Oryctolagus cuniculus: one gene and its partners. The protein of the gene in region 1 purifies or fractionates together with the protein of each later gene. This does not show direct contact. Links are inferred from orthologs where the notes say so. Each region holds a gene or a part of one and is shown on either strand. Other genes may lie near its edges. The genes, in order: KPNA2, POLR1E and SMARCB1.

The links.
Region 2: the proteins of KPNA2 (region 1) and POLR1E purify together in Homo sapiens (affinity purification with mass spectrometry; 3 studies listed by BioGRID and IntAct, with this or other methods). This does not show direct contact. The link is inferred for Oryctolagus cuniculus from reciprocal best matches to the Homo sapiens genes KPNA2 and POLR1E.
Region 3: the proteins of KPNA2 (region 1) and SMARCB1 purify together in Homo sapiens (affinity purification with mass spectrometry; 3 studies listed by BioGRID and IntAct, with this or other methods). This does not show direct contact. The link is inferred for Oryctolagus cuniculus from reciprocal best matches to the Homo sapiens genes KPNA2 and SMARCB1.

The regions. Positions count from the first base shown.
Region 1 is NC_091448.1:13,981,358-13,985,004, forward strand, and holds part of KPNA2 (importin subunit alpha-1), read left to right. Parts: intron 1-654; coding exon 655-923; intron 924-1,155; coding exon 1,156-1,250; intron 1,251-1,349; coding exon 1,350-1,613; intron 1,614-1,789; coding exon 1,790-2,023; intron 2,024-2,242; coding exon 2,243-2,425; intron 2,426-3,647.
Region 2 is NC_091432.1:200,290,735-200,294,395, forward strand, and holds the start of POLR1E (DNA-directed RNA polymerase I subunit RPA49), read left to right. Parts: upstream 1-790; 5' UTR 791-912; coding exon 913-988; intron 989-1,476; coding exon 1,477-1,580; intron 1,581-2,810; coding exon 2,811-2,887; intron 2,888-3,661. UniProt on the Homo sapiens protein: Component of RNA polymerase I (Pol I), a DNA-dependent RNA polymerase which synthesizes ribosomal RNA precursors using the four ribonucleoside triphosphates as substrates.
Region 3 is NC_091452.1:30,766,662-30,769,968, forward strand, and holds the end of SMARCB1 (SWI/SNF-related matrix-associated actin-dependent regulator of chromatin subfamily B member 1), read left to right. Parts: intron 1-2,075; coding exon 2,076-2,207; intron 2,208-2,430; coding exon 2,431-2,470; 3' UTR 2,471-2,782; downstream 2,783-3,307.

The DNA of each region.
Region 1 (3,647 bases):
GATCCTGGAACTCCATTCTGGTCTCGCATAAGAGTGGCAGGGGCCCAGCCCAAGTACTTGGACTGTCTTTTGCTGCTTTCCCAGACATGTTAGCAGGGAACTGGATTGAAAGCAGAAGCACCCAGGACTTGAACCAGCACTGCCATACAGGATGCTGGCATTGCAGTCTGTGACTCCAGTTGCTGTGTCACAATGCCTGTCCTCTTTTCATGTACTTTTTAAAAAGCATTCCAAAAGTCGTTGGAAGGAAAAGAAGAAATACTTAGACTATTAGAAAAGAAATATATTTGGATCCTTATCTCTCACAATAGATAGCTGTGTATTCATAACAGAAAGAATTAATAGTTTTTATAGCTTGACAGGATTTAGAAAAACAGAATGGTAAGTGATCACAGGCCAGGTATCCGCCCTCACTGTCAGCCGGGGAAGTGCGTGGCAGCAGCATAGACTCGTCCTGTTAGGTTGTCACACTGATGAAGGAGCCCTGCCAGGGATTTGGGGTGGGGGAGGGTGAGACAAGCTCCCTGGGGTCTCAGCACTTCAGGATTTACTTATCTGTCTCATGTTCTAAGCTCTTGAATTCAATTTTAAATTGGTTCACGTACACACTTATTTATCACCTTCACCTTGTATTTCTCTTTTTCTTCCCCTTAGGAAACTGCTTTCCAGGGAAAAACAGCCCCCTATAGACAACATAATCCGGGCTGGTTTGATTCCAAAATTTGTGTCCTTCTTGGGCAGAACTGATTGTAGCCCCATTCAGTTTGAATCTGCCTGGGCGCTCACTAACATTGCTTCTGGGACCTCAGAACAAACTAAGGCGGTGGTGGATGGAGGTGCCATCCCAGCATTCATTTCCCTGTTGGCATCTCCCCATGCTCACATCAGCGAACAAGCTGTATGGGCTCTAGGGAACATTGCAGGTACTTTTAACTTTTTGTTTTTTGAGGTTGGGAGAATGACCTTTGTTATGAGTAGTGGTGACCTTTGTGTCGAGTTTTAAGCTTGCTTCAGGCCCCTGTTAGGGATGAAGATGGCATCTAACAAAGGCACCAGAGGGCATCTCAGGGACTTTCCCATGGTGCAGTCAGCCACAGAACGCTGCTGGTGCTAGTCAAGGAGGTTTGCTCAGCTTTGCCCTTCTTCTTTCTGCAGGTGATGGTTCAGTTTTCCGAGATTTGGTTATCAAGTATGGTGCAATTGACCCACTGTTGGCTCTTCTGGCTGTTCCTGATATGTCCTCTTTGGCAGTAAGTTACCAGCATAGTGAAGTTTCTCACTTCTCATCTGCATGTCCCTCTACTTCCTCAAAAGACAGGATCTCTCATTGCTGTTTCCTTCTCCCCTAGTGCGGTTACTTACGTAATCTGACATGGACACTTTCAAACCTTTGTCGCAACAAGAATCCTGCACCCCCATTAGATGCCGTTGAGCAGATTCTTCCTACTTTAGTTCGTCTCCTGCATCACGATGATCCGGAAGTGTTAGCAGATACCTGCTGGGCGATTTCCTATCTCACTGATGGTCCAAATGAGCGGATTGAAATGGTTGTGAAGACAGGAGTTGTGCCGCAACTCGTGAAGCTTCTAGGAGCTAATGATTTGCCAATTGTGGTAAGTTGTTAACTTCAAGATTAGAATATAAAGTACAAGGGACACAATCGATAGTAAATATTGAAATACTGCCTATTTCAGGCCATAAAGAGCCTCTTGTCCAAATTTTTAGGGTACAGACATTTTGAGCAATTGGAAAAAAAAATAATCAGCATCAACATTGTTTTCCTTTTCAGACTCCTGCGCTAAGAGCCATAGGGAATATTGTCACAGGGACAGATGAACAGACACAGGTTGTGATAGATGCGGGAGCACTTGCCGTCTTTCCCAGCCTGCTGACTAACCCCAAAACTAACATCCAGAAGGAGGCCACGTGGACAATGTCAAACATCACAGCTGGGCGTCAGGACCAGATACAGCAAGTTGTGAATCACGGATTGGTCCCGTTCCTTGTTGGTGTTCTCTCTAAGGTATTAGAGATTTAATCATATGATTGCATTTACAGGCCAACATTTTTGTGGTTGGGTACTATTCATTGAGTTCATTGATAAATAATAACCAGTAATCCCTTTCCTTTAAGGTTGGATAGAGCCAGTTGGTTGTTTCAATCATTATTTCTGTAAAATGAAATTTTGGAATCTCATTTGTGTGACTGTTCTGAACTAAAACCAATTCCTTTTGTTTAATAGGCAGACTTTAAGACACAAAAAGAAGCAGTATGGGCTGTAACCAACTATACAAGTGGCGGAACAGTTGAACAGATTGTGTACCTTGTTCACTGTGGTATAATAGAACCGTTGATGAACCTCTTGACCGCAAAGGATACCAAAATTATTCTGGTTATTCTGGATGCCATTTCAAATATCTTCCAGGTAAGCCCTAACAGGGTGGCATTTGTTTGAATTTGGGCTTCATGGTGATTGATTTGCTGTGTCGACTAGGGAGGGCAGCTAGATGACTCATTAGTAGTCAGAACCAGCAAGGCCATTTATGTAAGCCAGGCTCCCTTCAGTGGTGCACTCCCCAATAAGCACAACCCCTGGGGCCCTGCCAGGAGCCAGACGTGCAATCCAGGTCTGCCAAGTGGGTGGCAGACAAGTACCCGATTACCTGAGCCATCACTGCTGCCTATCAGCATTAACTGGAAGCTGGAATCAGGAGGTGGAGCTAGGAACTGAATCCAGGCATTCTGAGGCAGGATGCAGGTATCCTAGCTACCAGTCTAAATGCCCTTTTTTTTTTTTTTTTTTTTAAGATTTTATTTATTTGAGAGACAAGAGTAACAAAGGGAGAGACAGAGAGGTCTTCTGTCTGCTGGTTCACTTCCCAGTTGGCAACAACGGCTGGAGCTGGGTTGATTGGGAGCCAGGAGCTTCTTCCTGGTCTCCCATGCGGGTGCAGAGGCCCAAGGACTTGGGACGTCTTCCACTGCTTTCCCAGACCATAGCAGAGAGCTGGATCGGAAGAGGAGCAGCCCAGACACAAACTGGCGCACACACCTGCCATCCCCTCCATCCGTAGCCACTAGTGTAGGCTCAGCCTATTGCGCCACAGCACTGACTCCTCTAAATGCCCATTCTACCACACTCTTCCTAGGGATTATAAGAGGCATGTAACAGGTGATTAATGAATGACACGACTTTAATTGAAGTCAAGTCTTGAAGTGAAAGCTATTCATACTACTTATTTTGTCAGGTATATTTAACCCCCCAATTTCATGCTAAATTTTGGTGAAATTAGCTATATTTTTCTCGTTTGACCTGAGGATGATTTAACCCTGCCGGCACATGGCATTTTGCCGTAGTGATTGGTACCAACTTCTAGATCTGGTTCTGGAAATTATTACATGTTGAAGCTGGATTCAGAATAAGGAAGGCTGGTGTCTATCGCCATCTGTAAATTATGAGTGACTGGTTCTCCCACCTTCTCTCATGTACCTGCTACATTGAGTTTCAAAAAAAATATAAAGTGGACATAAGACTATCATTAGGATTGTTAAAGAAACTGTTAATGTGCATTCCTGTCTGATATATGAAAGCTTTGATATGTGTATTTTCATTAAAATAGAACCATCAGAGAATAAACCAGTAAACT
Region 2 (3,661 bases), on another chromosome or scaffold:
CCAGCTCTCTGCTGTGGCCTGGGAAAGCAGTAGAAGATGGCCCAAGTCCTTGGGCCCCTGCACCCGCATGGGAGACCCGGAAGAAGCTCCTGGCTTCTGATTGATGCAGCTCCCTCCGTTGCAGCCATCTGGGGAGTGAACCATTGGATGGAAGACCTCTCTCTGCCTCTCCTCTCTCTGTGTAACTCTGACTTTCAAATAAATAAGAAATCTTAAAAACAAAAACAAAAACAAACTACACCTTCTAGACCACTCCAGAATCCTCTGCCCCAATGCCCTGAGCCTGGTGGGCCTTTCCCCCCAGCCCATCCTCCCAAGGCTGAGAGGCCACAGGTGAACATCTGGCTTTGAGGTGAGACCCAGGCAGCGAGATGCTTGCCGGGCTCTGGACAATGCTTGGTCTCAAGGGCTGCACGGCCACGTGTCTTGTATGGGACACCTCACCTCAGAGTTGGGGTGGCCCTCTGTCAGCTGCCACATTTAGCCGAGGCTCAAAAAATTCCTGTCAGATGATTCTAAATTTAAACTTGGCCTTCGAGCCCTGGGGAAGACACATTTGTCATGGTAGAAGAGACAGCCCATGCTCCACCTGCACCGCCTTACGGGAAAGTTATGCGGCAGTGGCAAGATCTTCTGGCCCAGCCAGAAGGAGCGCTGGGCCAACCAGGCTCTGCATCCTCAGGGTAGCTGTCAAGAAGGGGGCGTGGTGACGGATGAGAAGGGGCGGAGCTAACGGCGGGCGGGGCTCACGCGGCTCCTCCAGGGGGCGTGCCACGCACGGCTGCGTACTCGGCCGGTGCCCTGAGGCCACGCCCCTTCCGGTTCGCCGCTCAGCCCGGCAGCCGCGTGAGGACCGTCGCTGCAGAGTCGGCAGTTGTGGAAACTCCTGGGTTTGACGGCCTGACGGACGGGATGGCCGCAGATGTGTTGCCGAGTGCGACGTGGCTGTACTGTGGGGAGCCCGACGAGAGCCAGAAAGCTGTACTGGGTGAGGACTGCGGCGCTGGAGCGGGGCTCCCCTTCCGTCTCGGTACCTCTCCAGGTCTCCCTTCCCGCCCAATGCGTCAGGGCCCCCTGGCGTCTCCACCGCTGCCTGGGACTCGGCAAGGGGCATCCCGCAACCTTTCTGTCGGTACTTCCCAGCTGCATGAGGACATCTCCATCGCCCCCTCCCCAGGGCGGTGCCCGGGACGCTGCCCTCCCCTCCCCCGCCAGGTCTCCCACCTGCCCCCTTTCCCTCTCTCCGCTGGGCGCGGATTCTCCCTCCCCAGGTCTGGACCAGGCCCCTGGGTCAGCCTCATCCCCGCCGCCGTTTCCTCTTGTCTCAGCTGCCTCCGCCCCCCGCCCCGCTCGCCCCGCCAGCCTGTCCCCTCTTCTTGGACGGATGGACGCTACCCGCGTTTCTTTGCCAGCCCCATCCAGCCGTAGCTCCCTCCCACCATGCACCGTGGTCATTGTCGGGCGGTCCTCTTACAGTCCAATTCTCCAACGGGAAGCTGCAGAACCCGGGCAACATGCGCTTCACCTTGTACCAGAGCAGCGACTCCGCAAACCCCAGGAAGAGGAGTCAGCGGATCCTGGTAAGCGCTGCGGCTGCCAGTGCCCCGCTCTGCCTGCCTTAGGAGGCCCCTGGGGTGTGGGTGGATGGGAGAGGAGAAAATGGCTAGGGGCCTTTGGAAAAGCTCCGGCTCCAGCAGCTTGCGGCGTGGGGACAGGCTCCACGCAGCTCTGGGACTTCCGGTGGCGTGGTGGGCGTGCATTCACGTGTCCTGTCAGCATGTGTTATTGAACAGGCACTGCATCCCTGTGCGGTGAGTTAGGGAAACAGCCCCCTCCGACCTGGCGCCACTGGTGCTGTGGAGCAGGGCTTCGGTGCCTCTGTACACCGATAGGCCATGCCTGGCTGTGGCTGGCAGTCCTGTGCCTCAGGATGGTGCCCTAGAGAGGTGTGGAGTGGCTGCCGGGACACGCATCCATTAGACAGAGCTCTGGGCCCGGTGGGGAGGGTGCAGGGCGGAGTGAGCTCAGTGGCTTGCCAGAAGCCCCTTCTGGGGGTGGGTGCTTCAGTGCTGAGCCCTGAAAGGGGAGGGAAGGTTTGGCAGCCAAGATTTGGGGTTCCATGTGAAGCAGATAACAAGGACAAAAACGGAAGCAGGAAGGCTTGGCGGTTACAGGGAGCGAGTCAGCTGTGGCTGTGGTCCTGAGGGTTTAGAAAGAGCAGGCATGGGGGAGGTGGGCGCAGAGGATCAAGGCGGGCTTAGACTCTGGGCGAGGAGGTAGCCTGCAGAATCGCTTGGTTGCACACTGGCAAGTGCAACCTTCTCATCCGTCACCACGCCCCCTTCTTGACAGCTACCCTGAGGATGCAGAGCCTGGTTGGCCCAGAGCCCCTACTGGCTGGGCCAGAAGGTCCTGCCACTGCCGCATAACTTTCCCGTAAGGCTTCCTCCCGCTCAGCGCGGTGCAGGTGGAGCATGGGCTGTCTCTTCTGCCATGACAAATGTGTCTTCCCCAGGGCTCGAAGGCCAAGTTTAAATTTAGAGCCTCTTGCTTACGTCCTGTCCTGTGGTGCAGGCCCCCAGGAACGTCTCATACCCGTTAGAAGCTGATGCTGTCCGTGGCTTCCGCTTCTAAAGCCCTCTTGCCTTTCCCCAGGACTTCCCCAGATTACCTTGGAGCTGGGGGCGGGGGGGCTGGATCATCTCAGCCACTGTGGTTCTGGGTTAAAAGCTTTGGCAGATGTGAGAATGAGGCAAGATGCTCACTGCCTCTCAGCCTTGGTCATGAATGGGGTTTCTCCTGTGTTTTAGGCAGCTGAAACAGAGAGACTTTCCTACGTGGGAAACAATTTTGGGACTGGAGCCCTCAAGTGTAACACTCTGTGCAGGTAATGGTGTGGGGAGGATGATGGGAAGGGTGTGGTGCGGCACTGACACTGCTGTTTTTAGTCTATTTTAGGGGCAGTGGGAGAAATTGAGGTTTGCCAGGTGCCTGTGTGCTTGTACCTGGGGCTCTCTTGGAACGAATGCATGATTTATATTTGCTGAGTTTTCCTAAAATATGCATTTGTCGCATTGTTTATTTATAACTTTTTTTAAAAGATTTATTCATTTACTTATTTGAAAGTCAAAATTACAGGGGATGGGGAGAGAGGCCTGCGCTTGTGGCATAGGGGGTAAAGCTGCCGCCTGCAGTGCTGGCATCCCATATGGGCGCCGATTCGAGTCCTGGCTGCTCTACTTCTGATCCAGCTCTCTGCTGTGGCTGGGAAAGCAGTAGAAGTTGGCCCAAGTCCTTGGGCCCTGCATCCGCATGGGAGACCTGAAAGAAGCTCCTGACTCCTGGCTTTCGATCAGCGCAGCTCCGGCTATTGTGGCCAATTGGGGAGTGAACCATCAGATGGAAGACCTCTCTCTCTGCCTCTCCTCTCTCTGTGTAACTCTTTCAGATAAATAAATAAAATCTTTTAAAAGAGAGAGAGAGAGAGAGAGAGAGATATCTTCCATTTGCTAGTTCACTCCCTGAATGACCTCAACAGCCAGGGCTGGGCCAGGTCAAAGCCAGGAGCCTGGCGCTTCTTTGGGGTGTCCCAGGTGAGTGCAGGGGCCCAAGCACTTGAGCCATCCTCCACTGCTTTCCCAGGCCATTAGCAGGGAGCTTG
Region 3 (3,307 bases), on another chromosome or scaffold:
AAATGGCCACAGTGGCCAGAGCTGGGCTGATCTGAAGCCAGGAGCTTCTTCTGAGTCTCCCACATGGGTACAGGGGCTCAAGGACTTGGACCATCCTCCCCTGCTTTCTTAGGCCATGAGCAGGGAACTGGATTTGAAATGCAGCAGCCGGCACTCGATCCTGCGCCTATGTGGGATGCCAGTGCTGCAGGCAGTGGCTTTACCTGCTATGCCACAGTGCCAGCCCCTTCCCTTGAAATCTTAGCTCTCTCATTTCTAAGGGGGAGTCTTAGTGCTTCTTGCCTTGCATGTTCATCACACAAGGTCATGAACTTGACAGTGACAGTGACCTGAAGATAGCCCGTGAGCTGCAGTCACAGCAGGGGTGCTCTTGCACCCCTAGAATCACTGGGAAATGAGGGCAGCGCCTCTGCCTGAGTGGGCCCCCAAACCTGAGGCCGGCGAGTGCTGGCTGCAGGCCCGTTCTGAGCGTTGTTTTGAGCCATTCTTATTTTAGAACAGGCCGCTGACGTGGAATCTTCCCAGAGTCAAGGGGAGGCAAACAAAGGGGCCTCTGGGCCCTGCTCGCCAGCTCTTGTGTAAATTGCGAGGAAAACATGTTTTGCTCCCCTCTGCGTGGGCTTGGCGCCTCTCATGTCTGCCCTCCTGGGGCAGGCAGCTGGGCGCCCTCAAGGTGGGGAGTAATGTTTGGGGTTTGTGGCTGGGTCGTTCCTGGATTGCCAAACCAGGCTGCGGAGGAGGGGTCAGCCCCAAGGGAGTCAGGGGTGGGCGCTGCCCCGTCCCAGCCTCTGAGTCACCAGCATGAGCTCTGGCTTCTGTGCCTCCTAGGCACAGACCCAGTGGGCTGAGCTTCAGCAGGAAGCGGTCAGGCACACATGTGCAGTAGGCCCTGTGCTCACTGTCCCTGACACCCCCAGGCCACAGAGAGCAGCACAGACCAGGCCAGCCTCTCTGGCTGGGCTGGAACAGGCCCCAGTGTGTTGGTGCCTGCCGGCCAGGTGGTGAAGAGCCGGGCCCTGCCCATAGACCACCTGGTGCGGTGACCTGGGGCACAGGCTGCAGGGAGGCTGTATGGCGAGGCCCCACCTCTAGGGGGCGCCCTCAACAGATGTGTGTGGACTGCGTCAATATAGTGACCCCCAACATTGCTTTGCAGCCATACTTATTATTCCCATATCCCAGATGAAAACCAAGGCAGCAGCCAGGGACCTCTCCCTAGGGCCCTACTACCTTCGCCCCTCCCAAAGCTAACGGGACACCTGGTAGGGCTGCAGTCTACAGGGCAGCCTCCTAGGGGCCCAGGGGAGGCTGCGGTGGGGGGCGCCTGATGAAGCAGGCACCACGAGCCAGGATGCGTGCTTAGCACCTGAAGCTGCTCTGCCTTTCAGACCAGAGCCACCGGGGAGAGGGCACAGGGGCCCTTCAGTGTCCACGGTGGCGTCCACCTCCTTATCCTCCTGTTTCTCAGAAACCAAGGCCCAGAATGGTGACAGCTCAGCCGCACTTCCCCCTGGGTGTGCACTTGGCCAGGGAACGGTCTGTGAGGGACCAGGCAATGTGGTTTCTGGATCCAGCTTTCCTGGGGGTGTAGAGTGGCCCCCGTGGCACTGCTGGGCAAGTGTGTGGGATACCCAGGAGCAGGCATCTGGGGCCAGCACCTCCTCTCACCCCTCCTGTTCTCAGTCAGTGGATCTGGCCCTGGCCACCGAGTGGAGCAGCCGCACCTCCCTGCTCTGTGCTGCTGTGTCGGGACAGCCCTTCCACGCTCAGACAGGGAGGTGCTGAGGTGTGCAGAGTGGTCTCCAAAAGGAAGCCTGCAGGGCCGTACCAGTGCCCCTGTTGCTGCAGGCCACTCTGGCAGCTCCCTTGAGGGTCAGGGGATAGGTGCTACCCTGGCTGCCCCATCAGCTGTGCCAGAATCCCCTGGCCAGCACAGGGGAGGCTGAAGCCAGAAGAGCTAGGCCTTCCCTCCATGGCTGGCTGCCTGCTGGAGGGGTGCGGGGTGATGGTTTCTGGGGACTGTGGCTGCCAGCTGTGAACTAGCAGTTGTTCCTGTCACTGCCCCCCTCCCCCAGCGAGAACCCCCTGCCCACAGTGGAGATTGCCATCCGGAACACAGGCGACGCTGACCAGTGGTGCCCACTGCTGGAGACCTTGACTGACGCCGAGATGGAGAAGAAGATCCGCGACCAGGACAGGAACACGAGGTACCAGCCCCGGCCCTGCCCAGGGGCACCCATCTTCCCAGGCGGAGGCAGGGCTGTCTCCTTTCCCCGTGACCCACACTCTCAGGTCAGACCCAGGCCTCAGGGTCCCTGGAGACATGGGGCTCAGAGAGGGCTGGGGGTGTCCTGCTGGGCGTCCACCCTTGCCAGCTGGGATTGGTCCTGGCTTACCGTGCTCCCCTCCTGCCCCCCCCTCCCCCCGCAGGCGGATGAGGCGTCTGGCCAACACTGCCCCAGCCTGGTGACCCTCCTGTTGGCGCTCAGCTTTCACGAAGCAGCTCAGAAGATTGGACCCCTCCCCTTCCTCTTCTGATCAGGAGAGGGGCAGTGGACAGCCGGTGCCATCTGGAGGAATGGGGCAGGGGCCTGGACCCCCTGGGTCACCCTTCCCAGCCATACCTCGCATCTGCTGAGCCCCAGTCCTGTTTCCCCACTCATTAGCCCCCTACCCCAGTGTCTGGGGCCAGAAAGAAGCCTCGTTTTAGGTTGTGTTTTGTTTTTGTATGAGAGCCCCAGGCAGGGCTAGCAACACTTTTTAAATAAAAGGCAACAGGTCACGTGGTGTTCAGTGCTTCAGAAGGGCAGAGTGGGCAGGGCCGAGGCTGCCGGCCAGGCCATTCCACCTGAACAGCAGGGGTTAGGGGGCTCCCCTGGAAGCCACCTCAGCACCCCACGTGGCCCGAGGCAGAGCCCATCCTTGCTTCTCCTTGGGCCTTCTAACTTCCTCCCCACACCCCGCCCCCATGCCAGCCTTAGGAAGGAGCCTTGGGCTCTCCTAGCTCTGGGCCACCCTGTCTCTGCTCCATCAAGAGAAGCTGGCCAGGGGCACCTGAGTGGCACTGCCGGAACATCAGTGTACCCAGAACTGGCTGATGGGGCCTCTCCAACCCGGCAGGCACTGCGGCCTGGGCCGGCTCCTCTCCCCTGGGTCTGTAGTGAGGAGGACTGGCAGCTGCTGGCTCTTGGGCTTGATGTGCTGTCTGCAGAGACAGCTCTGGGTCTTCTCCTAGCTCTCCCCCAGTGGGGTCCCTCATCCTTGTGTCCTTGTGTGCAAGATGGAAGCATCTGGAGGCAGCGCATGG